Linked DNA regions of Lepisosteus oculatus. The protein of the gene in region 3 interacts with the protein of the main gene of each other region in a biochemical or structural test. Links are inferred from orthologs where the notes say so. Each region holds a gene or a part of one and is shown on either strand. Other genes may lie near its edges. The genes, in order: rpa1, rbbp8, atm and abl1.

The links.
Region 1: the proteins of atm (region 3) and rpa1 form a complex in vitro, tested with the Homo sapiens proteins (3 studies listed by BioGRID, with this or other methods). The link is inferred for Lepisosteus oculatus from reciprocal best matches to the Homo sapiens genes ATM and RPA1.
Region 2: of the proteins of atm (region 3) and rbbp8, one has a biochemical effect on the other in vitro, tested with the Homo sapiens proteins (4 studies listed by BioGRID, with this or other methods). The link is inferred for Lepisosteus oculatus from reciprocal best matches to the Homo sapiens genes ATM and RBBP8.
Region 4: of the proteins of atm (region 3) and abl1, one has a biochemical effect on the other in vitro, tested with the Homo sapiens proteins (3 studies listed by BioGRID and IntAct, with this or other methods). The link is inferred for Lepisosteus oculatus from reciprocal best matches to the Homo sapiens genes ATM and ABL1.

The regions. Positions count from the first base shown.
Region 1 is NC_090721.1:10,064,801-10,072,370, reverse strand, and holds the start of rpa1 (replication protein A 70 kDa DNA-binding subunit), read right to left. Parts: upstream 3,050-7,570; 5' UTR 2,883-3,049; coding exon 2,850-2,882; intron 1,946-2,849; coding exon 1,898-1,945; intron 1,800-1,897; coding exon 1,721-1,799; intron 934-1,720; coding exon 825-933; intron 522-824; coding exon 433-521; intron 1-432. Other genes in the region: smyd4 (SET and MYND domain-containing protein 4), read left to right, coding at 3,334-3,467, 4,425-4,569, 5,575-5,664, 6,507-7,560. UniProt on the Homo sapiens protein: As part of the heterotrimeric replication protein A complex (RPA/RP-A), binds and stabilizes single-stranded DNA intermediates that form during DNA replication or upon DNA stress.
Region 2 is NC_090701.1:57,679,860-57,687,230, forward strand, and holds the start of rbbp8 (DNA endonuclease RBBP8), read left to right. Parts: upstream 1-4,359; 5' UTR 4,360-4,413; intron 4,414-7,371. UniProt on the Homo sapiens protein: Endonuclease that cooperates with the MRE11-RAD50-NBN (MRN) complex in DNA-end resection, the first step of double-strand break (DSB) repair through the homologous recombination (HR) pathway.
Region 3 is NC_090700.1:682,615-690,685, forward strand, and holds the start of atm (serine-protein kinase ATM), read left to right. Parts: upstream 1-5,034; 5' UTR 5,035-5,152; intron 5,153-5,826; 5' UTR 5,827-5,857; coding exon 5,858-5,929; intron 5,930-6,243; coding exon 6,244-6,365; intron 6,366-7,085; coding exon 7,086-7,231; intron 7,232-7,348; coding exon 7,349-7,513; intron 7,514-7,699; coding exon 7,700-7,865; intron 7,866-7,944; coding exon 7,945-8,071. Other genes in the region: protein NPAT, read right to left, coding at 289-380, 490-628, 993-1,068, 1,374-1,634, 2,257-2,297, 2,902-2,980, 3,069-3,129, 3,434-3,552 and 1 more.
Region 4 is NC_090719.1:14,553,849-14,561,541, forward strand, and holds the start of abl1 (tyrosine-protein kinase ABL1), read left to right. Parts: upstream 1-4,619; 5' UTR 4,620-6,848; coding exon 6,849-6,981; intron 6,982-7,693. Other genes in the region: exosc2 (exosome complex component RRP4), read left to right, coding at 470-646, 907-1,035, 1,406-1,486. UniProt on the Homo sapiens protein: Non-receptor tyrosine-protein kinase that plays a role in many key processes linked to cell growth and survival such as cytoskeleton remodeling in response to extracellular stimuli, cell motility and adhesion, receptor endocytosis, autophagy, DNA damage response and apoptosis.

The DNA.
Region 1 (7,570 bases), on a different chromosome or scaffold from region 3:
TCCAGCTTGATCTTGAGTGGGGGAGCCTCTTTTATAAAAGCAATAGAAGTCGAGCCAAGAAAACCAGGCAACAGGCTGTTGTTTAAAGAGTAGGGGTGTTAGCCTGGCGTCCTGGCCAAATTCCCCCTGGTCTTTACCCATCATGGCCTCCTAATAATCCCCATCTCTGAACTGGCTTCATCACTCTGCTCTCCTCCCCACTGAGAGCTGGTGTGTGGGGAGAGGACTGGTGCATCATCCAGGTGGGGCTGCACACTGGTGGGGGTGGAGGGGATCCCCATTACCTGTAAAGCGCTTTGAGTGGAGTGTCCAGAAAAGCACTATATAAGTGTAAGGAATTATTTAGGACTTCTTAAATTGCCATCTTTTTACAGAACATCCTGGATTCCTACTGCGACACCCAACACATGCTGCACGCGTCTCATTCCTTACCTTCTCCGTAAGGGACCGGGTCCCCAATCTTCCCGCCCACGTCGGACGCTGACTTCAGAACCTCCACGTCGACGATGATCACCACACGCCTGGGCGCCCCAAGAGCCAGAAAACAGAGCAACTGCTTAGGACCGCCCGCGCTTGCAGCCCGGAGGAGACAGCTCCCACCCAGCGCCAAGCTTTCAGGTTCTCATTGTGGCCTGAAAGCTGAGCTCCTCAAACCCCACCTCAACAAGAGTTCATAAACCTGGGGGACGAATGCACTCCTAGCAGGGCTTGGACTTCACTGTACTTCAAGACCAACAATGACAGAAGTGCTCCTGTCCTTCTCTCTCTGTCTTTGCACCGGCAGGAATCTTTTACGTCTGGGCATGCCAGGCGGCACGACTCACCTGCCATCCTTCAGGGTGTTGTGGACGTTCCTCTTGATCTGGCAGATGCAGTTCGAAGACACGGTGTTCTGCTCCACCAGGTGGTTCAGCTGCGTGGCCAGCATGAAGGCTGTGCCAAGGAGGAAGATTTCGGGGTGAAAAAAAACAAACATGCACAGTGATGCCCTGGACTCCAGGGAGAAGGAGCTGGACGAGGAGTTTGAGGCGGCCGATGACGCATGAGCTTTTCAACAGACCTGTGCAGGAGCCCCAGGGAGCCCTCAACTACACCGCCTCCCTGTAGTTTCAAACCCAAATATCAGACCCTTTACTTGTCACGATTAAAAAAATGTGCAAGTACCAGTTATAAATCATTTAACAATACTTTAGGTAACAGGGCTCTCTTTGACACCTGAAGTCTGGAAGACACAGAGAGGAGAGAACACTTCTCACACAACCAGAACTTGCAGAAGCAAAACAACCAGGACCAAAGGAAAGTGGAGCAGAGCACAGTGAGACTGGGTCCATCTCTGCCATTCAAACCGACTCTGGATCAACTAGGAAAAGCTCCTAAAATTTCCCCAAGCTAAAAAATTCTGAATTTATTACATGTAAAATCAAGTTTACGACCTTAAACCATAACCTTCTCCAGAGCTTAATGAGCAAAGACTTGAGCAGCCACCAAGACTTAAGCACCACAATAAGGAGCAATACAACTATCAAAAGGACTTAAATTCAAAGGCAGATGCAAGATGCTTCCCCGCCAGCAGGACACACTGCTTGTTCCCCGTCTTTAAGAAGAAAGAGACATATTCCAGAGGACCGACAGTCTCCTGAGGTTCCAATCTAAACCCAACCGATGGGAGCCGACTACTGCCCGGCTGAAACAGGCCCAATACCGCTGCTGCTGTACTCACAGGACATGGTGTGCACCCCGTCGCTCATCATCATCCGGAACCGGACCGGCCCGGCGCTGCTCTCGATGCGCCGGATGTTCTGGTTGGGAGGGGGGAGGGGACACAGGTCAGATCTCAGCGATGCTGCAACAAGGGCAAACAGATCTCGGATCTCGGATCAGATGGGTCCGTACTCACCACCACCTGCAGGACCATGTTGGGCACGTCGCTGCCCTTGGTCAGAGCCTGGGGGGACAGAGAGTGAGGAGGGGGGGTCAGCCAGGCCTGGCAGTGTGTATCAAATATCAAACCCGAGATACAGATGAACTGAAACTGGAATTATGAATGCACAGCTACACAATTCTATCCCTCTTCCTTAATCATAAAAAACTTCCTTACTTTGAATGCATATAGCCCAGTTAGAATGAACTAAGATGTAAAGCATTAAGAGAACAGACAAGAACATACACAGATGAAAAATTCGTTTATGTGTATATTAGCACATGTCTATTATAAAATGATGCCTGCGGCACGTCGTCAGTACCTGTACAAACATCAAGCCCGTCCTCAGACAGGCTGGGTGCCGCTCTCGGCCAGCTGAAGTCCCAGTAACCACTGACTGAAGTCTGAGAGCTAACGAGCTCCTGCCAGTGTAGGACTTGCGGTGGGAAATTAAAACACTCAGCCTACAGACAGCTACAGCAACGACCCCAGACCCCGAGCCGTTCGCCTTCAGTTCTGGAAGCAGTGTTTCGCTCTGGCCAACATGCAATGCAAGCAGGTGTTTGTTTTGTTACAGAATGGCGTTTATCAAGCTTGCACTTTATTTAACGGGTGCTCCCGGAGGTCATGGCTGTTGTGAGCCGTGGAGCGGTTTTATTAATCCAGCGCCGGCGCGAAGGCCCGCGACACGGCTCGGAGACCAACTACACGCCCGATTCGCAGGAGCAGGGCTCTGCTTGCATCGCTTAGAAAGAGTCAAAAACAACTGGGGGTGTTACATCACCGACGAAACCCAGTAAAGCAATTCACTGCGATCGATATTGAGCGACTAGGAAAAAATATTTATCAAGTGCGACATCAGAAAGAACTCTCCGCTAGTGTGGATAATAACTACAAACTACTGCATCCACCCCCGAAAATCACCTACCTCAATGGCTCCTTCGGTAAGTTTGACAGTCATAGCGAGCAAAAGAAATCAGATTTTAACCAAAAAAAACTCTCCTTGAAAACTCAAAGACGGGTGAATACGCCTCTCTCCTCTGCAGGTCCGTATTCCGTGGCGCCAAGTTTTGGCTGTAGAGCGCGCGCGGAGTGTGTTTATAACTCTCCCGACGTCACGCGCCAAATTCCGCCGGCTACGGCGGGTCTTGAGCATGCGCGGTCCGTGCTCGGCGGAGACAGTCCCTCCCCGTTCGTCGGATTGGCGGGGAAAGCGCTCCCGCGAAACGGGCGCCATTGTGGCTCGAAGCTATGTAAATATAAGGGAGATTGGAGCCAAGATGGAGGATCTCTCAAAAGTGGGATCTATCACCCTTGACCGGAGAGTGCTGCTGGGTTTGTAATGTGTGTGCCCCGCTGCATGCAGAGATCCAATAGCTAGGCGTTAGTTTTATCATTTTTTTCAAGAAACAATGGATTTGCCGTGCCCCGAGTGGCAGAGACATGTCGAACAGAAGTGGAAGCTTTTGCCTTCCGTCCAAAAGCAGGCGTTCACGTCGCTCACCGAGCCGGCGGAGATGTATGCTTTCTGCGTCACGTTGGTGAAGTGAGTACAGCTCGCGTCCTGTCTCTGTCAGTGTAGAAAGTCTTGAATGAAAGTGTCGCAAGTGTACCTCTGAATTATCCCTTTTGGGATCGGGCTCAGTCTTGCTCGTGTGCAAACTGCACATCTAATTCATTAGCTGTTTTGCGCACCGTGGATAATCAGCCGAGGGATCAGTCCAAATCCTGTATCTGTGCAAAAATATTTACTTTTTTAAAGTTTACTAATAAAAAAAACTATAGCATGAATTTTGATTTTTAATTGAAAAAACCTGGAGTATGTGACAACTGTACAGTAAAAAAATGCTTGTTTGCAGATTATAATAATAATTGCTTACATTTATATAGCGCTTTTCTGGACACTCCACTCAAAGCGCTTTACAGGTAATGGGGATCCCCTCCACCCCCACCAGTGTGCAGCCCCACCTGGATGATGCACCAGTCCTCTCCCCACACACCAGCTCTCAGTGGGGAGGAGAGCAGAGTGATGAAGCCAGTTCAGAGATGGGGGTTATTAGGAGGTCATGATGGGTAAGGGCCAATGGGAAATTTGGCCAGGACACTGGGGTTACACCCCTACTCTTTTCAAGAAACGCCCTGGGATTTTTAATGCCCACAGAGAGTCAGGACCTCGGTTTTACATCCCATCCAAAGGACGGCACCTTTTAACAGTATAGTGCCCCCGTATCTATACTGGGCCATTAGGACCCACACAGACCGCAGGGTGAGCGCCCCCTGCTGGCCCCTCTCACACCCCAAACGGGCAGCAGTGAAACTGCAGCCCTGCTCTGTGAAGGAAGCAGCGCTCTTCCTGGCTCTGCGGTCGTTAAAAAGTAGTTATCTCAAGTCAACCGCATGTTGAAGCGTCTTCAGCTGGGGCGGCGCTGCTTCAGTGCCGAGGCGGACGAAGGCCTGATGCTCTTTCTTTCTCTCTCCCTCCCTCCCTCCCTCGCCCCGTCAGCGGTGAAGATGCGGCGCTGCTGTCGCGCGCGGCGCGAGGACGCTCCGTGCGCAAGAGCCCGGACTGCGCGCGCCTGCTCAGGGAGCAGGGGAACGGGAAGTTCAAGGCACGAGACTACCTGGGGGCACTGCTGCGCTATTCTAAGGTCACCGGTCCCGTTTCATTTACAGGCACACCCGGCTCTGCTCACGCGTCAGCTGCGCAGTCTCTGTTACCTGACATTGCTGCTTCATTATTTGTATTCATTTTTATTTGGCTGGTGCTTGCACCCACAGCAGGTTTTAAAAAAAAAAGTATTTATGCATAACAGAATAACAAAAATTACAATACAAACAAGAGCGCATATAACAGTTCAAGACAAAAAGATCGCCAGGGGTACATACTACTACATAACTTCAAGTTAGGAAAAAAGATTAAACAAATTAAATAAACATAATGTCTGCACTGCTTTCATATTTGTGTCTGCAAATACCCCCCTTACATCCATTTTAAAATGCTCAAGCATTTTATGTATATAATAACGTGCCATTAGAATAATTACATTTATTACCAACGAAATTTTAATATTGTTTTCGATGGGGCTGAAACTCAACATAACATCTTTTTTCATCGATATTGATATTGGTTTCTTTTTTAATATAAGTCTGCAGCTTAGTCCAGAAAAGCAAAGCAGCTTATGTTTGTAATCATTGTACTGGAGGCATGTCTCAGTGCAGTACTGGGGCTGAGGGGTATGATCGCACTGGGGATTCGAACCCACACACCTTCCAGCTGGGAGTCCAGGTGCCTGACTGCGCCCCCAGACTGCTGGCGCTCGGCACCTCTTACAGAGCTGGCCGTGCAGGGTCTGGGCCTGTCTGGCTGCCCAGCAGATGAGGGTCATGTGTTTCGTGCTCCAGTCCTGCGCCTTGTAAGACTCCAGGACAGCTGTCCTGGCGGCGTGGGGCACCCCAGGGGCGGACATCGCCCTGCGCCCCTCCCCCAGCGCCGTTCCGCTGACGCTGCATTCGGAAACCCGGCTCCCGGCCTGCTTGAGCGCTCATGTGTCCGATGCCGTTGCAGTTCTGCGAGCGGCCAGGAGGTGGCGCCAGAGTGGTGGTGGTGGTGGGGGGGTGGCCCTCTCACAGTCTAGTCCTTGCTCTCTCCGCAGGGCGTGTGCCAGGCGGACCCGGGCAGCCAGGAGCTGGCCCTGTGCCTGGCCAACCGCTCCGCTGCGCTCTTCCACCTCGCCCAGTACCAGGTGAGCGCCAGAAGCCTGCACGCTGCACGCTGCACGCTGGGTTTAGTGTGAGCTTTCGGGCAAAGGTAAAGCTCGGGTTGGGGTCACGGAGCTTTTAAATGGCTGAATGAAGCGCTGGCGTGTGGGCCTTGGAGTTACCCTCCTATGGGCCCGCCCTGTGTCAGAGGATCAACCCCCAGAGCTGACTGGAGGTCAGAAGGGCTCCCCCTTGGGCGTGGGCTGAACCCCACTGTGCGATCTCTGAGCTAAGATACGCTGAACTCTGTTGTCCCCCAGGGGAAAGGTTTTACTGACGCACAGCGGCTCTGTACATCTAAATACATCCCCTCTGTTACACACGCATAACTCGTTGCAACAGTTCCATCACATTACACATACATATTTTACAGCACGCTCAGTTTATACACAGTTGCATTTATCCTTGCCAATTATTTGCATTAATTACTTTTAATAGATTAGACATAAGAGAGAGAACACATTATTATCTGATCAACATCTGGGAGCCCTGAAATGTTTGCCAGAGGTTCTGATGTGCAGAATTAAGAATATAAAAAGGGATCTGATGTACTTGTTTCCCTCCTGGTTAATCACGGAGGAGAGCTGCATCAGTCCCATAACCTTCGCTGCTGTTTGGACAGGACGGGTGATTTTTGATCTTGATTGGACCCATAAATGACCAAACCACACCGCTGCACCATGTCTAGTTAGGCTCTCGGTGACAGCGTGGTAAGAGAAGAACGGGTCAGAACTCGGACGGCGCCGGGTGGTTGCTGTGGTACGTGGTGACAGACGTCCCGGGTTGTTGTGGGTCCGATCCGAAAACCAGCTGCTTGTTTTCGCAGGAGTGCCTGCGGGACATCCGCAGGGCGCTGAGCCAGGGCTACCCCGGACACCTGGAGCCCAAGCTGCTGGCCAGGCGGGCAGAGTGCCTCTCTCAGCTCGAGCGGGCAAGGGAGGAGGAGGAGGAGGGCAGTGCCAGTGCGGAGATCCGTACCGCCGGGGAAGGGGTTATGGAGCGCCAGGCACCGCAGGCACAGAGCGGCAGGCTGACCGGGACCCTGCTCTGCGCGTCTCCTGCCGTAGCCCTGCGCTTCGGCCACGGCAAGGGTCGCCACCTGCTGGCCGCGGCCGACATTGCGCCCGGGGAGGTGGTGGTGCAAGAGGAGGCGTTCAGCTGCGTGCTGATCCCCGAGGAAGCGGTCAGACCCGCGGTGGAGAGGGGGGCCGCGGGCACGGAGGACTGGCACTGCCATCGCTGCCTGCGCAGGGCGCTCTCCCCTGTGCCTTGCCAGGGCTGCAGTTACGCCCGTTACTGCGGGGAGGAATGTCGAGAGCAGGCGTGGGAGGGGTGCCATCGCTGGGAGTGCCCGCTTGGGGGGGAGCTGCTGGCGGCGGGGGTGCTGGCACACTTGGCACTCCGGGTGGCACTGCAGGCCGGGTGCGAGGAAATCAAGAGAGTGCAGGACCAGGGCAGGGGGGACGAAGAAACTCTGGACAGGATGAGCACCAGGGAAAAGTCTGATCAACCTGATGTGGACGGCTCCACAAACAGCACCCCAGTACCTGGATGTGACCCCTCAGGCCGCTACCTGGGCTCCTCTTACCTGTGTGTCCATCACCTGCTCCCGCACACGCACAGACACGCCCCCAGCCTGCGCTTCCTGTGCGCCGCTACTGTGGCAACGCTCTGTCTCAGGCTGAAGGGGGCGGGGCCCCTGTCGGAGAAAGGGGGCGGAGCTTCCCCGAGTGACAGGAGTGGGAGCCAATCACAGAGTGAGACGGAGGACGAGAGACAGGGGCGGCCTTTGGAGTTGGGCATGCTGGGAGCAGCAGCACTGAGGCACATGCTGCAGCTGAGGTGCAACGCCCAAGCTATAACTGCAGTGAGAGACACAGGTGAGGAACT
Region 2 (7,371 bases), on a different chromosome or scaffold from region 3:
ATTCTTAATAAATGTGAAGAAGACCACAACTTCTATTAATTGTGTTAAATGACACATTGTAATCAACATGAATGGTATTGGACATCATTTTAAAATAAACTGTAATTCAGAAGAATTATACCTGTAACAAGGTGTATATAGTATAGTAAAACAAAACCCCCATGTTTGTACTTCAATGTAATTTAATACATTTGTGGTTTCCTTTAACAACCTAAGTTTAATTACACAAATAAATGTGTCAGATTTAAATGGGACACCCTGTATTTGTATTTCAGGCATGTTGAAATAAATACGTGAAAAGACAATGTTATATGTTATCCTTTTCCCCTAGAAATAATCACTGTAGTACAGTATTTTCCCTAACATATTACCACCATGCCAGTGTTTAAATTGTCAGTGATAAGAGATCACAGCAACAGTTTTCTGCAGAGCAGAACTGCATGCAGCTATTTACAGACAGGGATTATATGAACTGATAGAATTTTTTTCACAGTAATATAGCCTGTGTTGCAGGCTGTTTCTGACAGAAGTGCAAATATAGCTCTTATTCCATTGACAGCATGACTTTCAAAGTGTATGGTTCCTTTGGAAACTGTGTTTCACCCTTTCTCTCTTCAAGTGCTTAGCAGGTCTGAATGTCTACTTTTAGAAAATCAGGGGGGAAAAATATTGATATTTGTATTGTAGCGCTCTCGGGTTCATGTGGGTATGTGCCCTCTCCCTCGCCAACGCTGGGGACTCGAACCCGAGAGCGCTACATTGGTGTCAGAGTGGGATGGGATAGCCGTTCGCCGAGGATGGCAAAGTAAGCAGGGGAGAGCGTAAGGCATAAGGCCGACATTATAGCAGGGACCGCAGCCTCCGGGCTAACGGGAGATCTCCCTTTAGCTCAACTGGCTGGGTCCCTGTTGAGTGATGCCGGAGGCGCGGGTTCGAGTTCCCAGCGGTTAGGGGCCGACCTGAGGCGGCAGCGGCGAAGGCGCATACCCCCGTGAACCTGAGAGCGCTACAATATCATTTATTTTTGTTGTAATGTAGTTGTAACTGACTGCCCTTTAATACAAATACAGCAGAAATGACTGTTGGGAATGTTTTCAGCCTACAGAGTCCTCCTTTCACTTGGACTGCTAGCAAGCTGAGGGTTACATTGCCTGATGGATCACCCGAAAGTTAGAAATTATGGATGTGGCTTTCTCTGAACAGATAAAAGATAAAAGATTAGCTTGCTAGGGTATGTGAACAGTTTTAAAGAGAAGCCTGTCTCATTAATGCAATAATTTCCCAAGATATGACTCTACAAATCCAGTAATAAATCCAATTATTTCAGTCTGCTTTTCATGGAGAGTTATGGACTTGAATAAATTTGTGGTGAAAATAAAAACTATTTACTGTGCTTTCAAAAATAACTGGCTGATAAATACTGCCATTAAAAAAATGTAGTGACAAATCCAAATTTATTTGCCAGAAAACCTCACTTTGTGTTGAAATGGAGAGTGACTGCAATCAAATAAGATGTATATTTATTCATAATTAGAAAGCACTTTAATACTTTTAAGACAGAATCTGGCAAAAATAAGTCATGATTATAATCGCCATACTGTGCGAAGTAATAGTGAGGAACCCTTAAATTTGTCCCTCATTCGATACAATTCCCAGATACCTTTTATAACAACATATAGACAAATGTTGTTATCATTCCATTTATGTGACAACTTTCTCATCGGTGACTACAGTATACTTTTAAAGAGCCTCTTTCTTCTATTTGTAGATTTAGTAGCTGGGATTATTGTGAAGAGGAATGAAGAAATTGAGAAACAATTTTATTTCTTTCCGAAAACACATCTTATTGTTCCCATTTTCAGCATGAGATAAGTGGGTGGTAAGGATGTGCAGGGCTGAAACGCCTCTGCAACACCACCTGAAATAGCAGAACCGTGTCCACTGATATAATTAAAGGACTGGCATTTTGTTACAGGCTGTGAAAAACAAAATCAAATTAAAGACAAATATTCTTTTGCCGTTGGTCTTTTCATGATAATATTTGCTCTTGTCAAGATTATCCTTCCTTGTTTTTTCAAAGGCTGGGAAAGACATAGAAGGGGCCTGGACTTTGGACTTGAGTACTACTCCTACACCTCATTTCATAGCCGCCAGTAAAACACTAAATTCATTAAAGTGGATTACAGCTCCAAGTCAACACAATGGGTGTCTTGACAGGCAGTGGCAGTGCTTTACACCAGTGTTTCTCAACCTCTTTTACACCAGGAAACAGCTCCTTGGGGTTCTCCTCGTCTGAGGCTGAAGTTTAGATGGGGTGCACAGTAAGGATCCAATTTCATCAGCAACGGTACTTCAGGTCTCAGCAGAGACCCGTGCCAGTGGAGAAAAGCACAAGGCCCCGGCGCTCACCTGAGCTTCTGCTACTTGCCCTAGTATCACTTCCTCGCTTCCTGAACGAAGCTCTTACCAGAGCCGAGCATGCGGGCGGCTGGCGGTCTGGACCGGCTCCAGCTCAGCCAGTACCGCCCGGGTGCGACTCTCCCTGCCCTGTTCTTGCTTCGTCCCGCCCCGCCCTCCTCCGGGATGAAGAAATAAAGAATGAAAATGTGTGTTCGGGACTCTCGACAGTGTTCCCGGGCTGTTTGCTCAATCGGCTCGGTAAAACTAAAGAGCTCCGAGTGCAATTATACTGTATGACACTTCTCATGCGATAGGCGATTCAGTTTTTGTACCTTTACGGACAGTCACAGTTTCTTTTTATTTTTCATGTAACTAAAGTTTGAGTTTTTATTAAAATAATTATAGCTCAGGGATGCATGAATACTCCAAAGCAATTATTGCTTTACTGGCTTCTTTTTTCACGAACTTGCGTTCTGCAATGCAACTCTGCTTACACAACGGCTCCAGACAAGTTGACAAAATGACTACCACACGAGTGTGAAAGCCTCAGAAATATGCGAGTAACTGAATCATTCCTGCTTTCGTTTAGAAAACTTTTTAAATATCTTTATGCTTTTGCAGCCAATTCTGTTACAGGTCAAATTGTATATTTATTAATTTAAATTTTAAAATAACAGTTTTAACTTCAGTTATACTAAACATCTGTTGTCCTGTGTTACAGGATATGTCATTTGTTCAGTAAAAAAGGGGTTATCATATAACACGTTTCACAATCTTTGTGATCATCAAAAAGTGTCCCATGAAAAATTACGCAATTTCCTACTCTAGTCCTCAACGGCCAGAAGTATTTGACAAACCGGTTTATTTGAAACATATTGGAGGTTTGAAGACATCACATCTTTTTTAAAATTTAAAGCAACATTATTTGTTTTACTTAGTCAAATACAAAAGTTAATCTGAGACAGCAGTGTCAATATTGGGGACTATAGGGTCCAAAGACCACTGGTTGCCATGGAAACAATATTCAGGCTATATAACCACAGGTAATGTCTGAATTGCATTTGAACCCTAAGCACCTGCTTGACAATACATATTTTATTGCTAAGAAAGAACACATTGCAAAACAACCCCCACTCTGGTGTTTTTCTTACTATGTTACTTTCTGCAACCCTGATCATCACAGATGTTTTATGATTTATAGTTTATGACTTGCAAGACACAATTATGGTCAAATGTTGTTAAGGTACGAGAAAACACAGACAAGGGCAAGAACTCGGAATACACAGGGAAACACTATTTCAGGAACACCGTAAAATGCACGCTAGCCTTTAGCAGATGAAATAGAAACGTAAATATGATAAAATATTCTCGAACAAACTAGAGATCGACCTTGCATGTAATACCTATGAAAAAAGCCAATTTCAAGAAGTGATTTAAATCGGTTTTGCAATAAGATCCAGGAAAACTGAATCTTTTCATTTAATCTTATAGTACAATTTATCCCAGACGTTATATGTCATGGCCTTGTATGGCAGACATTTTGATTCCTGTAGTTACCTTTCCAGCGTAAACTGTTTCACATAAAGGTATTTGATTCCTACATCATTATGTTTTTTTTTAAATAAAACTCCCTCTCGTTTACTGTTATAAGTTTTTGTGATCTCGTGGCGTTTGAAATATTTTCAGCTAGCATTTTGTTAACTGACTTCCACCGTGTATTTATTTAATCTGCCGACGTTTTTATTGATGCTACAAGCAGTGTCTACACATACTGAACATGCATGGTAAGAAATCACACAGCCCTCCAGTCGCACACTTCGTATATCTCCAGATAAGAAAGCTTTCGTCTTTATGGTGGACTTGACGCTATCAAACCAGCTATGTCCCCTTCCTAGCGGTCTGAGACACACTGAAACGTGCGTGGGAGCTGTCGCTTTAAGGAGGACAGGAAGTGGCGGGGACTCCCAGAATGCACCGCGGAGCGCCAAGTGCAAACAGCGGTGTGTAAACAAGGTAAGAGTCTTTCTGCAGCGACATGTGTACATTTGATCGTATTTTACAGATGTGTGAAACTTGGACATATTACTTTGCGCTTTCTCTTGGTAATTCTTTGCCCTCGAGTTTGTTAATTGTGTACGGGTAGTTTGTCATTTTATTTGTCACCTCCTGCAGCGCGGTGGCGTGCGAGGAAAGGCAGTCGGACATTGGGGACGATAGGATATTTTAATGTAATTTGAGGTCCGAATCGCTTGATAGACCTGAAGATATTTACATTTTGGCGCATTCCCGAGTATTCAAGCATTCCTTCCGTGCTTTTATTTCACTTAAACGAAGAGCATTCTGTAATACAGCATGAGTGGGTCTTAACCTGCAGATTTGGCCATGAGCAGGTGATCTTACTGGTTGCACTGTACAACGTGACTGTGCTGTCGCAGGTCAGTAATTCGTGCGAACTGTTAAATCAAAGAAAATAGAAAGTAACCACGTATGTCGTTTCCCCTTCACAAATATAGACCCTTTATATTAAAGCGTGTCTGAGAGGAGGTCAGAGCCACTGGGCTATGAGGATAACTGAGTTTCACACCCTGAATATTTCCACTGTGTTCCCAGTATATGGAGAAATGTAATGATATGTAAACGTTAAAGTTTGTGAATAGCATTGCGTGGGAAAAACCCACTCGAGGAAGTGTGAGTGAGGCGGGGTGTAAATCCACTAAGAGGTTTAAAAGCCGGTGTTTGTTGTTTTTTTTCGGGTTTTACCGATAGGATCATTTAACCTGATCTACAGCATATCCTCTGGTACATCTGATGCGCTCGTTTTATGCTTCTCGACACGACAGTCGCTGCGCGTTGTTCATTTTCCAAACGCTGATCTGACGACTGTTTTAGACTACATGACTCCAGGCGAGCGTGTTGTCAGATTCGACGTCTGTCCGGGAAATAGTGTGACCCTGCTTTGTGCAGCTGGGCAGCCTGCACGTGGGGATGCAGCCGTTGCACTCGAACACAACGAACAGGACGGAGCTCGGAGTCGTGGGGTGACGATTAGGACTCTGAGCCGAAGGTTCGGGGTTCAGACCCCAAAGGGGCGACACTTTTAACAGGATACAGTGCCCAGAGCTCTATAGCAAGTCTGCTGTGTCTGGATGGAGGAGACCGGTAACACATATCAGTGTGCAGGAGGACAGCGTCGCCACCCGACCTGCTCTCTGCAGTTACGCAAGGCTCAAGCTGGTCAGTACCGGAGCCGGGTGCCTCCGTCGAAAGCAGATTGCTGCTGTAAATCGTGCAGGTGAAGTAGGCGGCGGCACTCTTCCCTGTAGAACAGAACTTCTGAACCAGTATCCCAGTAAGGCCCACCAGGGCGATGGGCATCTTTGGGATGAGATGGTGACTTGCTGAGCTACATAAGTAGTCATTCAAGATCCAGTGGCACTGTTCGTAAGAGTAGACCTGTGTTAGCCCTGGCGTTCTGTCACTGCTTTGCTTTTCGGCTTGTACAGTCTGCCCCACCTGCATTTCCCCCCTGGATTCATCCATCTGTCCATCTTCAAGACAGCGCTTATTCCAGGCAAGGGCTCCTGCAGAAAGCTCGGGGTGCGAGGCAGGGCGCCGCCCCAGACCAGCCGACCGTCTCTCGAACCCGGCCCGCATGGTTATGGAAGGCTGGAGGAAAACAGGTGCACCTGCTAGAAAGCAAGTAACATGCAGGCTCCGTAGAGAAGCTGGTAACCTGGTACCCAGGGGCTGTGAGGCCGGGCTAACTGCGCTGCAGTGATGAAGTTTCTCTCCTCTCCGCCTGGTCTGCGCTGCAGTGATGAAGTTTCTCTCCTCTCTGCCTGGTCTGCGCTGCAGTGATGAAGTTTCTCTCCTCTCCGCCTGGTCTGCGCTGCAGTGATGAAGTTTCTCTCCTCTCTGCCTGGTCTGCGCTGCAGTGATGAAGTTTCTCTCCTCTCCGCCTGGTCTGCGCTGCAGTGATGAAGTTTCTCTCCTCTCCGCCTGGTCTGCGCTGCAGTGGGGCCGCTGGTGCAGGACGGGTCCCATGCTGCAGCGCTGGGAGGAGCATGTCTTATCCTGCGTGTGCCGGGGGATTCGTTCGGGAGTTGCCGAGTCGGGAACAAGCCATCTAGCCCTGTTGTATACAGTGATGCCCTGATTTCTCTCAGGAAGCATTTGGACGAGGTCCTCAGAGGGACATACCCGTTACTACCAACCGTCTAGTCCCTAGACTGCAGTGGATCGCTTGGCCTCCTCTCCTCTGTAGCCTTTCTTATGTCCTTATGAAAAGCGCTATAAAAAAACGTTAAATAATAAAATGTATAAAAATAAAGAAACAAATATCTAATAATACTTTGATCACGGGCATGGCAAAAACTGAAAAATGGTGTCTGATTTGTTTTGACTTTTTTTGTATTTTGGGTTAGGGACACAGGTCCCAGTGTAATACTTAACTTCTTTAGAACTAAGAGCTACCCGATTCTGGTGCTGAATCCTCACACTCCCGTTGGATAGAGCCTCGGCTGAGGTGTTTGCTTGAAGACGGCCGCAAACCTTTAATGGTTAGATTGTTGAATGCAGTGCTTGGCTGGAAATCAGACCTGCTGGTGTGTGGGTCCCAGCGCGGGAGCGTTGCCTGCACACTGCTGTACCAATAGTCACCAGTAGATGGAGCTCGTTACACAGTGTTTCAGAAAAAAAGACTCCTCTTTGCTAAGGCTAGCGGCCTTGGTTCCCAAAGTGTGCCTGTATGTTCCTGCTCGTTATGAGCCGCTCTTCATCCAGTACCCGATTAAGGCCTGGAAACCAGATGATCAGAGTTTTTATCCTTTTAATTTCTGCATTAATTTAGTAAGATCTGAAATAAAATGACAACTGGACACAAATGAAGAATTCCAAGTGAAAAATTTAAGACCTCTTCTTAACCCTTGGCATATTGCCCATTTTAGGCAGTTTCTGTCAGTGTCCGATGCT
Region 3 (8,071 bases):
AAGAGTTCGTACACTTAAGGTGCAATTATCAGGGGTCACCTGGTTGTGGGCAGGATGCTGTTATTTTGTAAAACTTTTGGTTTGGGATTCTGCAAAAGGATATGGACTTCAGAGTCAATCTCCCATCGAAAAGACTGCTTAAACTTTTCAATAAAGATTACTGGCTAAAATAAAGCTCTGTCAGTTTTGGTCCTTGTTTAGACTCCTACCCATGTTTCCAGCCATGTAGGATTACAGACTTTTAACTAGCTGACCATTAATGTAAAATGCCATTCAATTTCATCTTACCTTCCCAAGAACTTATTAATGTTTTCTGCAAGTTTCTCTTGCAGGGACTTGTCACTAAGTATCTTGTCCCTGGCGTTCTCTATAACCATTTGCTGTAAGAAACAAGGATGGAATAAATCATTGGAACAGAAGAGAAACAGATGCTAGAGATCCGCCTGACTTTGAGAATCCGATTCCAATGTGGAAGGAGGTGGGACTCACGGGAAAGCTCTCCGAGACGGGCTCCTGCTCTCCTTCGTTTTGGAATTCCTCAGTCTCCACAATGACAGTAGATATCTGGGGGGTCCTTGGTGCTCCGCCCTGTCCAGCCAGCAGCCCACCTCTCCTCCTGGGGGAGTCACTGAAACACCGCACAGCACAGGAGGATCAGGCCTTCCTGTATCCTTTCCACACAGCTCATACACTAACAGCACGCAGGCTGCCAGGCACGGAGAGACCACTACGCCTGGGCCAGCTGCCACCTCAGCCTGAGCTGCAGATTCCACGCTTGTCTAGCAGGAACAAGCAGACAAACACAGGGAAAGAGACACAGACATGGCTCTCAGCAGACATGTATTCTTTGCATACAACACTGCAGAGTTTTCCAGCTGGAAGGATTCAGAAATGACACAGGTGCTGAAGCAACACAAACCAGCAAAGCAGAGAATCCTCTGGGAAAAAACGTTGACTTTAGGAAGGCCACACCTTCTCAGCGGTCTCCTCACCATTTCCTGCGGCCCGGAGACAACTGTCCTGGGCTAAATCTGCGATCTGGAACAACAACCTGCAGAGGGGAATCTCCTACAGGAAACAAAACAAAAGGGGCTCTTAAGGAACCAGTAATCTGCAGTCCTCAGGCAGCCTTTCCATACAAGCTTTCCTCTACTGTACTCAGAATCTGGGCAAGGATTTTTCCTTAAATGGACACACTGATGATCTGTCATTATGAGAGACTAATGTATTGACAAGTACTATTTAACAGGTCAAGATGTTTTTGTAGAACAAAGGCCACAGGACTAACACACAAAAAACTAAAAACCACATGTATAACACAAAACAAAACCTTTAACTACATGTTCACCACGACCCCTCGGTGTTCCACTTACTGCTCACGTTGAGCACAGCCCTGCTTCGCTCCTGGACCTGAGACTGGCTGACGCACAGGGGGGAGGGTCTCGCGTGCAGGGAGCTGTAGCAGATGGGAGTGGAGCACCCCAGCATGGCCTGAGGCACGCACACGGGGCTGGGGCTGGGGCTGTGCTGGCCGGGAGAGGGAGTCACAGACAGCAGCCCGGAGCTGCCCGGAGCCGGCGGGGAGGGCTGAGCTCTCTGATGCCGCACGTTCAGGATCCCATTCCGGGTGCGAACTGCAACATGGGCACACGGGCACACAGCAGGGGTGAGAGCTCCGATGAGCACACGGACACGCACGCAAAGAGAGAAGCGGTGCCAGACACCCGAGAACAAAGATCTGAAAGTACAGGCTGATACTGTAAATGTGCCAAAAGGCAGAGGGGAATAAAAATTCAAAGTCAAGAATGTTTGAGATTAAAAAATCATCAAATCTTTTTTTTTTTTAATATTGAAAGAGCCAGAAGCAATGAATAGTTACAATGCCAACAGACTGTGCAGGATCTGATTCATTATGAAACGATGGTCAATTTTAGCTAAGAAAACAATACAATATGCTTTTCTTTTCAATATGGGAACATCTGCGAATGCAAGACAGAACTTTCCAGAATGTCTGAGACCGACATGGAAGGAGACATTTATAAGAGGGTTATCATAAACATGCAGAGGAAAAAATCAGTTATCTTTTTTCTAAACCTTCAATTTCCCCTTTTCTCCTACAAGTCTGAGAAATCCATTTGACAGACTCATTATGGTATGAAAGACCTGTGGTTTCCTAAAATCTAAAATGCAGTGAAAAGATACCGGACAGAAAAAATAAACTGTATTTAAATAATAAAAATGAAAAGGCCAGCTTACATCTTTGGTTGTTGTAAATGCTTGGAGAGTTCTGCATACACCTAGTGAGAGCAATAGACATCATTAAGCCATCCTGAAAAACAGTTTTGCTCAAAAACATCTTTATTCATTTTACATTTCACTATTCTCATGCCAAGATAATATCTGACAGTCCTGCAAAATTTGGAATGTGTCAAATTATAATATTTCATTTCTTTAGAAATGGGATACTTATGACAGACTCCCCGGTTCCTAGTTTTAAATGTAGTTTCAACCTACGTCCTCTGGTTAATGCGTCACTCTGTTCAGAAGAATTCCACTGGGATGGGTTTGTCAATGCCTCTTTCTGTTGAAGCCTACAAAGCTTCAGTTCTAGTCTGTCTGTGTAGGGTGTACGCTGGTCCAGCAATGTATATGGTTACTCTACCCTGGACTGGTTCCTGAGCCATAGTAGTTTTTTCGTAACACAGGTGACACAAGAAATTGTTTGCATGATGTCAGGAGCTCATGACAGTTTATCTACAAGATTTTCTTCCATTCTGCAGCTCTGGTAAAAACACCGCTGCTGCGACAGTCTCCGGGAGCAAGTTCTTATGGTTGCATATCCTGAAACAAGAGGCTCCATTTACCCCCACCCCCAGAAATCCAGTTAAAGTTTCCTTTTACCTGATCTGATTCAGAGTGAAATCTAATTTCCTCCAGAGCGACGTCATCATAGCAGGTACCTGTGACTCCTGGCTGCATTCTTGACAAAAAAAAACAGTTGTATATTAACAAAACATGAACATATGAAGCTCTGAGTCTGAAGTTATTTTAAAACCTCCAGTACTTGCCTTTTGCTTTAATGGCAACGTATTCATTCAGAATGGTGTTCAGGTTTTTCCCAAACAAAGACTGCAAAGACAAAACAACATGATAAAACAGAACGTAGGGAAACATAGGATAAATCTGAGCACACTGCTCAGATTAGAGATGTCTAACACACTGTGTATGCTGTTTTCATGAAAACAAATCTAGCACATGAAACGCAAGCTATTTCATTCAGACAGCTAATGAGAGCTTTAGGTACGGTGAGACTTTCGCAGAGAATAAAGAGTGAAATTTTGCATGTGCATGCCATAAGATGCCGAATTTCCACAAGTCTTTCCATTACAGCGTACAGGGGCGAGGGGCTCTGCTGAGATCGGACAGCACTCACAAACACGCAGGCAGGAATCGCTCCGTCCTCGGTGCTGTGCTCCGCGTACTCCTTCAGGTCCGGACTCTCGCTGATGAACGCCCGGCAAGTGGCAGTCAGGCGCTCCTGTTGGAGATACCCTTGGCGCACCCCAGAACAAACAAGCACTCGGTTTACTTCATTTACTGGAATTTCAAAGCAATATCAACTCACCAGGGCATGCATCCAAAAATACACATCCTTTGTCAATAAGCGAATTATGCACAATTGTTCGGACATGACTGATTTCTGATAACGTCCTTGCAACTGAAATCTTGGCAAGGTCATAAACGCCACTGGAATACTATCAAAATCTGACATCTGATGTACTGGACATTTTTCCCCAGTATTAATAATTTCGTCACAGTCGTTATGGAATTTGACATTAACACGTACCTGGTGTGTAATTTAGTATTTTAGGTGGTAGTACTCCGACCACCGTTGTTTCAGACAGCTTACACCCAGTGGTATCGATATCATGCATCAAATATTATATGCAGTGCTTTCTGTTATCTACACAGTGAAAGACACGCTCTTTAGCTAACCATGCTCTTGTCCCCCAGATACAGGCTCTGGTACAGTACGTGTTGCAGGGGCCCTTTGTGATCAACACAGCTCTCAGCTGCGACCGCAGAGCAAACTCCCCGGCTACACGCCTGTGTCCCGCAACAGACCCCGCTGCGACCCCTCCAACTTACCCAAAACCAGCCTCGCAATGTCAGATGGTAGCAACATGGCTGTTGTGAAGCCTTTTCAACTGGCCCTCATACGCACAGTCATGAAAGAAAACCGAACAGCACACATTTGAGCCGTTATACTTTTTCTCAGCTCAGCTGAACACAACTCCCAATAACACCCACCCGCAGAAAAAGCGCGGAAATTCAGCACGTTTCACCCGGAAGTATTCGCCTAAAAGGCTGCATGGGAAATGTAGTTCGGGTGTTCGGTCAGTCAATGTCAGTACGCGAGACAGGGTTACATGGCGGATAATGTATTAACATATAGTAGCGCTCTTGGGTTCAGAATATTATATAAAACGTTAATTGTGCGTAACAATGGAAACTGGCATAAAATAAATCAGAGGTCCAAACAGATATTCTGTCAGTGGAAATGTTTTTATCAAAAATGTTATTGCAACAATAATATATACAATACAGACAAGAGTTTATATACATAACATCGTCAGGGGTACATAACACAGCTGCATTTTACAAAATAATTAAATGAGATAAATCAAGGTACGCACAGATTGTATATTCTTACGCTTATAGCAAAACGTCTGGAGACATGCTGTGTTTTGAACTGTTCAAATGGGGGTCTCTTCCCAGACCGTTTAATTTTATGTAAGTGTCATGATTAAATTTATGACAAATGATATGATATTCTGTATTTTTTTCAACGGGATTAAAAATACAGTGGCAGTGCGTTTAAAGCTCCAGTCTGCAGCTCCTGCACCAGAGACCCCCTGCCTCGCTGGGACTGGGGAGGCGGAGCTATCTCAGGAACTGGGGCCGTGATTGGCTAGCGGAACCGCCCGTCTTCGCAACGACCCGGAAATGAAGTTGAAGTTGGGGAGGCGCGGTTTGTGTTTGTATTGCTGTGCGTGCTGTGCTGTCTTTATAGTGGACAGTACTTGGGATTTAGTTTAAGTGAACGTCAGAACACGGCCCTGTCGTGAAATAAAGAAAGCTATATAAGGAGGTATGTGAATAGGTACCCAGTTCCCAGCGATTTTTAGATGCGGAGAATCATTTAGTAGTTTAAGATGATTTGACGTCAATTTTAATCAGACTGCATAGCTAGCTTACTTTACTTTAAAGTCTGGATCTTGATCGTATGTTTTTGGTAATACCGTGCAGATCTAAACAAGTGTGTGTAGCTCGCTTGTGATTGTTGAACGTGTACACCTAGCACGGTCATCGCCGATCTATTCTGAAGGCAGACGGGGACTCCTGGACTTGAAGCACCTGAAGCAGTGCTACTCCTGCTGTAATACTGCGTTCTCCGTCCGGCTGGTGTGGAAGGTCATCAGACGGCAATGTGGTCCTCTCATCGCCCGTGTGCGCTGTAGATCTTAGCAGGATCTCAGGGACTGCTCCTTACAGCTCAGTGGGATGGGGGGTTGGGCACTTTAAAAAACGAAACCAAAAACGTTTAAACTGCATTAATGTGAAACCCTTATTAATGGAATGATTTATGTATAGAATCGTTTGTGTTTGTGATCAGAAGGCATACTTTGAAGGGGTGTAATGAATCAAAACAGGCCTGTGTCTGCAACCCGCCCCCCACACACGCTTCTCCAGTTCGATTCTGTGCTCCTGCACTGTCAGTGCGGCGTCAGTACTCGACATCGATTCCCCTGTCTGCCTCTGCAGGCCCCCAGTGCAGCGCCACCCTGAGGACAACATGAGCCTGTTGCTGCATGAGCTCCTGATGTGCTGCCGTGGGCTGGAGAGCGACAAGGCCACGGAGAGGAAGGTAGATGCGTTCACCTCTGTGCAGGACAGGGGCGTGAGTCGCTCAGGAGTGACCAGATCACTTCAGTGCTGATGTTCAAAGGTTCAAAGGTTAATGAGGAAGCTGAAAAAGTCTGAGAATGTAATAAGCTTTCTTTCATTCATACATTTGTTTTTAAGTGAGTAACTTTTGGCATTCCTATGAAGCATTTTCCCTGACATAATGAGTGTTTTGACAATAGTGTGGATTTGATGTATTAAACAGCTGTAGATTAAACAATCAGTTGCCACTAGCAGAATGTTCTTAGGAGTCCACCTGTCAATGTTATTTTGCAGAAAGAAGCGGATAAATTTAAGCGGCTCATCGTGTCTCCTGAGACAGTTGAGGCCCTGGACAGAGCCAGTTCTTCAAGAGCAGCGAAGGGTTCCAAACAGCTCACCTGGGATGCTGTCTTTGGGTAGGTGCTCTTAAAATGAGCCCGAATGAATGACCGTGTGTGATGAGTTCATGCCGGTCTGCTCCAGGTCGCATTAGTCACTGAGGATGTTTCCTGTGTGTTAGTTGTGAAGCCTTGTTGTGGATTTTCTGTCACACAGCCTAACTGTGCTGTGCACCCACCCTTTCGCCGATTTGGTTTATACACACACGCAGCCCAGCAGTGCTCCTGTCTGGAACAGTGCTCACAGGGAGTCCTGGAGGTGCTCTGTTTGTAGCTGAGGGGGAATGCCTTGTAAAATGGCGAAGATGCACGTAAAGCCTCTTGCACAAGCCGCAGCTCTCACTGGCTCGTGTAGAAGCCCCAGTGCGCTGTGCTCCTGTGTTCTTGCACTGTACTGCCAGGGCAGCTGCAGGGTCTTACCTGCTCTGTAGCAGAGCAGCACAAGCAGGATGGCGCCTCTGCTGGCCTTGCAGGAGACAATGGTAAACCCACGAGTGACGGCCAGTGTGTAGTATTCTGAACTTGTCAGAAAACAAAAGCCCAGCTCCCCCGTTTTTACCACCAGGCTCTCAGTCGTGTGAGCGGGTCGCGATTTCAGCGGTCTGGCCGAGCGTAGTGACATCTGCAGCGAAAGGGGTGTTTAAGAAGCCCCTGCTGGACGTGCGGTTTAGAAATTGGATGCTTTAATTAACTGCGGCCCAGGCGAATCTGACAAAGCAGCGGCTCTCGTCCCTGAAGGGTTCTGCGCCGGTACGTGGAGAGAGAAACGGAGGCGCTGCAGACTGGGAAGGCCAATGTGTCCGCCACCACACAAGCAAACAGGCACAAAAAAATGCAGGAAGTCAGCAGCTTGCTCAAATTTTTCATCAGATGTGCAAACAAAAGTAAGTGACCATGTTTTAAGTCAACACAGATCTTTGGCAGCTCATTGACCGCTTGCTTAATCTCCTGCCTCCTTTCCCTGCCCGTTGTTCACACATTGGAGCGATTGCCTTTCGCAGGAGGCCCCCGCCTGAAGTGCACGGACCTCCTGGCTCACCTGGTGGGCGTCCTCAGGAGCTCCTTCTCCTGCAGTGCCTATGGAGAGGACTACAGCAGCATCCTGCTGAAGGACATCCTGTCTGTCCGCAAGTACTGGTGTGAGGTCACACAGCATCAGTGGGCTGGTAGGTGCCTTAACCAGCACCTGAGCTCCACTCCATTAAGTGTGTGAGCCCAGACTAATATATTCCCCATTCCGACTTCAGCTCAGCAGTCAGGGTGGAATTAGAGTCTGTACTTGGAAAGATTAACAATGAAATAGAACTGCTGTGCCGTGTTGAAGTGCTGATTCCCTGTGTTCTCCTGTCCAGAGCTGCTGGAGGTGTATTGCGGTTTCTACAACAGCAGCTCCAGTGCCATCAACCGCGTGCTGGTGAGCAGGATCATCCACACCCTGGTGAGGGGCTGCTGCCTGCAGACAGAGGGGCTGGTGCACAAGCTCTTCAAGTTCTTCTCCCGAGCGCTGCTGAACGCCAGGTACCGCACCTCGCTGCTCCGAGGAGAGCCCTGCCCTGCGGTCCGTGACGTCTGAGCGTGTGTTCTGTGCCTCGTGCAGGAGGGAGAAGTACCTGGCTGTCCTGGAGCACCTGCTGGCTGCTCTGAACATCTTCCTGAGGGCCTCGGCCGTGAACTGCCGCACACGGGTCTGCGGGCTGGGGGAGGAGCTCCTGCCCTCTGTCCTG
Region 4 (7,693 bases), on a different chromosome or scaffold from region 3:
AGCACTTTGTACTTTATTGAACACTCTACATATATAGTTTCTCTCTTACAGTGGGAACCGTCTCGAATTAGTCTCGTATTTAGTCCAGCTTAAAGAGACTGTAAAAAGTGAATGTAAAAGATTAAGTAATGCATTTGTTTTTAAATCACACCGACTGTACTGGATAAAATTGATTAAAATGGATAAGAATGTTTGCATGGACCTAGATTAATGCTCTCAATACTTCCGACTAGTCACCTGTGTCATTGCAGGTAAGCCTTTTATTGATTCAGACCTCACGCCGCTTTTGATAGCAAAGCCAAAACCGTTGTTAATGATAAAGACCAGAACACCCGGCTCTCTTTTTATTTTTATTTTTTTTTGCGCCTCCGTGTGTGAAGGTGATTGACCTTTCTTAACCTCAAATGCGTGACCTTTCAATAGGCTCGTAACTAGCCAGAACTTCCACTTCCCTCACTCCTCCTCACAGCTGGGTCAGGGGGTGCTGGTGCAGGTGTCCCCATCCTTGGTGAAGAGGCAGAAGACCCACTTCCACAACCTGCCCTGCGGCGCCTCCATCATCCTGGGCAACAACGGCTACGTGTGGCTGTATCCCACTCCCGGGCAGCAGGACGAGGAGGCGGGGGGCTTCTACACCAGCCTGGAGGTAAGATGGGGTGGCAGGGCTCACCGAAGAACTCAAACACAGCCGCAAAAAGTGGGAGAGGGGGTGGATCACTAGGATTGGTAGCACACGGATCTGGATTTTGAACATCTCGGATGGCCTTTTTTTATCCTAGACAGTAGCCTACACGGTAAGATTTATTGCGCGGTCTCGCTCTTTCGCTTAGCTCCGTTGAGCTGCTGTAACGATGCATAATCCTGTTTCTCCGTTCCTGTGTCCCTTTCCTCCTCCTCCTCCTCCAGCCCGTCTCTCTCTCGGACAGGGAAGTGATCTCCAGGTTACGGAACTGTCTGCTGGCCCTGGCCACGCACAAGGTCCTGCTGTTCGACACCAGCGTGCTCTACTGCTACGAAGCCTCCCTCTCGCACCAGGTACAGCGTTGTAGAGGTGCGCCGTCCCAGAAAGTCCCTGGGGCTACAGCTGTACTTGGTGTAACCTGCTCGATTTGTCGAGCTGTACAGCAGCTTGTAGACGAACGTAGGACATTTCTTTGAAGTGGAACAGACGGTCAGGCTGAAGGAACTGAATCTTTTTAGTTTTGAAGAGCACATAGAGCTGAACGGAGAGGGCTGTGTGGGGAACTGATTTAAATATTCAAAATCCCCAAAGCCCTTATTAGCGGAGGACTCGAGTGCAGTTCAAACTGCTCCTGTGGAAGAGAGGTGGAGCAGCAGTGAAGTGTTTTTTTAGTACCGGTATGTGCGAGACTCATTGTCGGTGTTCGTCCGACTGCCTCTGCAGATCAAAGACGTCCTGAAGCCGGAAGTGATGGAGGAGATCGTGCTGGAGACACGACAGAGGCTGTTGGAGCAGGAGGGGTAGGCGCCCGGACAGCCGACGTGCGGCCCTGCCGATTCCTTTTCCTCGGCCCGTCTCCATTCCGGTCACCTGGGGTTCGGAGAAAAGAGGTTTTGTCTCCCCTTCGGGCTGTGAACAGCTGACATGACGTCACAAAGGGACCAGCATTTGTTGTTTTTTTTTTTTTAAAGTTGACCAATGAATTTTTGTGTAATCGATCATTTTTGACGATTTAACAGTTGAACACAGTTGGCAGGGAGAGGCGTTGGAAGCACCTACAGCCAGTGTGTTCTTAAGAGGCTCTTCCACTGTTGTGTGGAGAAGCTCAGGGTCACATGTAAGTTCTGTTTATGTCCATTATTCTGTTAATAAATGACATTACCACCCCCGAACATTGGAGTAGAGTCTTTTGCATGAGTATTTTAATTGTTGTACACGTTTAGGGTTTTGTATAACACAATTGTGTTTTAGGTTTACGCTTAGCTCACGGCGATCGAGTTCATGTTTGGGTCGGTACTGCCCCTTTCCCTTGCCGTCTTTGTAAACTATCCAAATGAACCTTCTTCCAGGTTTCTGTTGATTCCTGGCCGTTCTCTGGGGTGACCCCCGTCACCTAGGGTCCTGATTGCTTGGTCAGTCATGAAGAAGCATTAAAATAACAGGATTCGGATGCTGGTGAAAGAAGAGCTGTTTATTCATATGCAGACGGGAGATCAGTTTGCGAAAGCTAGTCTCTCCGAAAGATGTTGCTCAGCGCTTTTTATACACAGTGACAGACACACGTCCTACCTTTAACATAGATGACCTAATCCCTAAAACGAACCATTCGTTTTTAGTCAAGCTTGGATAACGGGAAAACAACTCCTTATCGAGACTTTCGTTATTGCTTACATTTGCGAAACAAGACATTCTGCTTCCCTTTTTACTCTAACGTTTCCACTGACCTATAGATGCCCCCTGGTATGCTTCCACTTACCAGGGTTATAAGCAGTTAGGAAGCTAAAAGACAGGCAGTTTGTTCGTTTTTATAAAATGTGCAAATGGCACATCAGCCGGGTCCTGTGGATGGCGCAGGGCTCCGCTGGGTTAGATCCCTGGGCTGCTGTCTGTGTGGAGTCTGTATGTTCTCCCTGTGCTCACGTGGGTTTCTTCCCACAATCCAAAGACACGCTGGTATGTTAGTTGGCTTCTGGGACAATTGGCCCTGCTGCGAGTGTATTGCCCTGCAGTGAACTGGTGTCCCCTCGGGGTAATACAGGGACGCAGGGAAGCCAGAGTCTGTCCCGCCACGCAACGGGCACAAAGCAAGATACACCTGTGCCAGTGTGCAGGGCACACATGGACAGCAGGGCCCATTTTCCCAGAAGCCAGTCAGCCGTATGTCTTTGGAGCCAGTGGAAACCCGCATGAAGATGGGGGGGAAAACATACAAGCCACAGGCTGAGAGCACCCCAGGTCCAGAATTGAACCCGGGACCCCAGCTCTGAAGTGCTAACCACTGTGCCACCAAGCCTCCCTAGTCGAAAAAATGTGCGCCTGAAACATGCATGTCCTTCATCTGAGGAGCACAGGAACAACTGCAAAGCCTTTCCAAGTATTCGTCCACTGCTGATGGAGCCCTGGAAAGAGCACTACGAACACGGTTTTAAAACTGGCAAGAGTGGCAACAGCTGCTAGGGGGAGCACTTGGATCATTTTGGTTTAAGTTGTCAAAAAGTAAACTAAAGATGAAGATATCATACACATCCCTCATCGTTAAAACAAGATGGAGACTTTCCTTTTAAAACATTCATTTTTTTGGCTGACTGACAAAAGTTAATGGAAGGACTTTCTTTTATCAGAGTAAAATCAATTAGTGCCTTTTTCACTGAAATCCAACGGGGGTTGCAGCCTTACTCCTGATCTTTCCTGATCTGATCTTTGTAGTTAAGCTAATATGTCCTATTCTTTTTGCCCACTCATTTCTCAATACTGGGAACTGCAACTATATTATATGTTTTTGCCGATTCTCATTTGCCTTACGAAAATGTATCGGAAAAAAACTTCTCGTTTGGCGAAACGAGAGGAAATAACTTCACAATACAACGTATTTACACTTCCTGAACCTCGCAGAAATAGTTTTTGTTCGCCAAGAAGGAAAACATCAATGTAGGACAATACAGCCCCAGGTATGCACCTTCTTTATAAGAAGACCGGGATGTAACTCTATGCAGGTAGTAAAATAACTCATTTGTCCATGTGCTGATCACGAGTGCGCTTGTTGCTCCTGGATTGAGTGGGGTGATCAAAAAGCTGGGTTTATTCAGAAGAAGGGGGATAGGACAGGTAACTCTGGTCACCAAGTGCTGCATTGGTGTCTGTTTTGTTTTCTATTGCAGAAGACAGGGACTTTATTGAACCGAGTGGATGATTAAATCAGCTTTGTTTTCCAACTCTGGGGCTAATTGCAAACAGCCTGTAAAACCGGCTGCCCGCAGCACTCAAAGACTGGCGTTTGCCCTTTCTCCTGGAAGAGGTTTCAGATCAAAGGACTCACATCAGTCTTGTTTATTGCAAAAGTAAGCGAAATTTGAATCTTGGAGCCAACTGTGCGAAAGAAAGGAACAGAAAGCGATACTTCAACAAAAGGATTGTTGAAAAACATGATCCTTCAGCATAACTTTACGAATTTGTTTAAGAAACAATAGAAGCATATGCAATGAAATGCATCCGATTGAAGTTCCGTGGATTTCCCATCTTGAAATCTATGCATGTAATTGAGTGGACATAAACTTAATGACAAACACCCGGAGCCAGACGAGAGCGGGTGGGCTGCAGCGAGCACACACGTAGTTTGCGGGACAGTTTCATTTTCCTGCTGGTTTGATTTGGATATGTTCTCTTGCAGAATCATTTTGGTTCCCCGTACAACGTGCGAACGGCCAGTTTCTGTCTTTCTGCCATTAAAACCACATCTCTCTGGACCTTAAGCGCCCTTCTCGCTGAAGCGCGCCCCCCTATTAAAGAATCGGGGGCGCGCTTCCTTTTTCCTTTCCTGCGCTCCCCTACCAACGTGCTCGTTCTCGTCCTCACATCCTCTTGCGCGCTTCCCTCGGGAATTCTTACGTTACGTCGGGACGCATGGACGTAGACGTAACCCCCCCCCCCCGCAACCAACACCACCTCCTGTGTAGTTGATCTCCTTGCGTAGAGAAACATGGCGGCGATTGAGCGTATGTGACCGAGGTTTGAGTAGCAATTCCACCTCCGGGAGAGTCAGAAATCCATGCAAACAGCCGGAGTACGGAAGATAGGACGTGCTTGCTCGCCCTGATCGGACAGGCGCCCCGGGTGTCCCTCGTCATCGCCGAGGAAGACGTCGCTAACACGGCGGACAGACGGAGCGGATCGCCGCTTGCCCGAGTCTTAGGGAGCCCCGGGTACTCGGGCACGGGAGAGCCCGGGAGGACGGACGATACTGGACGGGGAGGTCGGGGAGAGCCGGAGGGGGTGGGGGCGGAGGTGTCCGGGGTCCCCCCCAGATCTGCAGCCGGAGGGGGTCGTGGCGCTGTAGCAGAGGCGCACGGTGACAGACCGGCCGGGGGGCACGGAGACTGACGCCCGGGCAGCACCCCGAGACGCAAGCTCGGGCGTTTTACATCAAAAATAATGATGAACAGGGAAAATCCGATCCGTGCTGATTGAGGCACCCCCCACCCCCTTTTAACGCGCTGCGCCGCGACTGCAGCGGGGTCGCTTCGACGCGCCCCGGTCCGAGTTCCCTACTTTGTTGTGCACCGAGGTCCTGCCACCGCTTTTCAACTTTGCAGCGTTTATTAAACTTTGTTTTTTGTTTTTTTTAGCCGAGTTCCTCCACCCAGACCAGGAATAAGCTAGCATCATATCGGGTTGTCCACACACACACACACCTGAAAATACAGACGCGTGAAAGAGACGGGGAGGGGGGAACAAAATAGGAACAGAACCGTTTCGAGAAGCTGTGAGGTCGGTGCTCGGCGGCTGTCTGGCCGCGTACGGCTTGTGGTTTGTCGTAGGTAGCGGTGCACTGGTGTCTTACAGTATATCTTGCGGGCAGAAGACGTCTTTCGGCGAGCCGGTGTCTGCGGGCTGCGCTCCGAGCAGATCGGCCGCTTCCACGACCACTATGCACCGCGTAGCGCTCTCCGGGGGTAGCCGTGTCAGAAAACCAAACTCCGCATCCCTCCCTTTAATGTGAGAAAACCAAAACAACCCTTACCAAACTGCGGGAATCGTCGATGGGGGTGATCTTGATGAAATCGTACACAAAAAAAAAAAACAGGGGTCTTGAATGACACACAGGTGTGCAATGTGTTGCTTTGCGTCTGCAAAGATCGCAGTGAATGTATTGTGCGTAAACAATGAATACAGTGCCTTACTTTCACAGATGCCCTCCTAAGAGGACTTTAAATACCAGTAGGTGATCACACGTCCTGCTGCAGGGATTGCTGTTTTACTGTTACATTATGGACCCCTAACCAGGTCTGATATCGAGAAGTCTTTTTTTTTTTGTTGTTGTTGTTGACATAGTTCACAGAAAGGCGGACAGGACTGTGATCGCGTGTCAGCCGCCCGGGGTTCATATCGTGTGTAATATCAGAGCCCACGGAACTTCATTCCAGTCAGATCATTTTTATTTTATCCACACTGAGAGATTTATGTTCTCGGCCGTGTGTTAGTCATAAAAGCACACCCAGGCAGCCGACTCTGACCTCTTTAACGGCACACTGAAAGGCCTTTATGTAAATACGCTATTCTGGAGATGATTAGTAGGCTAGACTTTTTAAAAGGGGGCTTTCGGTTTTTTAAAGCGGCTTCATCATTGGCTGACCCGAGGACTTTCCTAGGATCTACCTGCTGAAGTTTAAGCACTAAAAAAAGAGAGGGGGAACCTGGATTCCAATCCTTGGCCAAGCTGAAGCTAGCACACCAAATGAGATTATGCAATGAGAATGACCCCGATCCATACCCTGAAAGGTATTGAACTTGCCAAACTGGATGCCCCGAATGGTTCCTCGTAGCTGCTGCAGACGCTGCCCTGGCGGAAATTTTTCCCCCTGAGGGAAACGGGAAAGCGCGCACACACGCTACGGTGCTGTAAATGATCGGTAAGGGGGAGGCGAACGGCGAAGGCGAGGAACAGAAGGCAGCCCCGCTCCCGTGTCCGATTTCCCCGCCGCCCAAGTTCCGCCGGGGCCCGGGGGCGATGCAGGAGTGAGCGTCCGGCGCTCCCCGCCCGCTCCGCTCGGTCTCTCCCCCCGTCCTCGGCCACAGGAAAGCGGACCCCGGCCGAGCCCGGCTGCTGATCCGAGGATCCGGACGGCGGATCGTGCCTCCTTCCTGGCGGTGGCCTTGGCATCGTTCCTTTATGGGGCAGCAGCCGGGGAAAGTGCTCGGGGACCAGAGGAGACCAAGTCTGCCGGCTCTGCACTTCATCAAGGGAGCGAGGAGGGAGCCGTCGCGCCGTGGAGGCCAGCACTGCAATGTCTTCGTGGAGCACGGTAAGAGCTGTTCCAACAGCTGAGCTGGACGCAGGGGTTCAAGCCGCCTAGACGCTCATTTTGTTTCCCCGCCCTGTTTCTAGAGAGTGCACTGTGGTGGAGAGGGGGAGCTGACAGGACGCTTGTCCCTGTGCCTTGTCTGCATCCAAGTGTGTTCTTGCGCTGCGGTGCGAGGTGAAGGGTTAACAGACGCCCCAGCCCTGCGAGCGCTGTAGAGTTACTAGTCAACACAGCTGGAATCAAAATGAATAGTTATTGGGCCTCGTTTTGCATTAAAAACATTGTGCGTTTTGGTAGCGTGCAGCTCGATTTCGCACCGCTGCCAAAAGAAGGATGCTGTTCTGTGAAAGAGGAGGCCTGTCTGTGGAGAGCTGGTGCTCTGTTGGTCGGTTTGTTGATCCAGCTGGATGGTTTCACCGATAAAGACAGGGGCTGTGGCCCAAGTGAGTCATCAGTAGCTAAAGGGTGTTGAGACTCATTTCTCTGATTGGGCTGGCTAATTAACAATGTGGTTCAGCATGAAGAAAGAAGCTTGCGTTAGTAGGGTGTCTACAACAGCATGAGGCTGGGGATCACAGTTGAGTTCCTTCCCGGTGTTGACTGACCCCTGTGTGGCAGTAGCACTCTTTCCTGTATCAGGTTCGGTTTCCGTGCCTGTGATTGAGTTTGTGAGCAGCGTGGTCTCAGTATTCTGCAGGGAGATAATAATAAA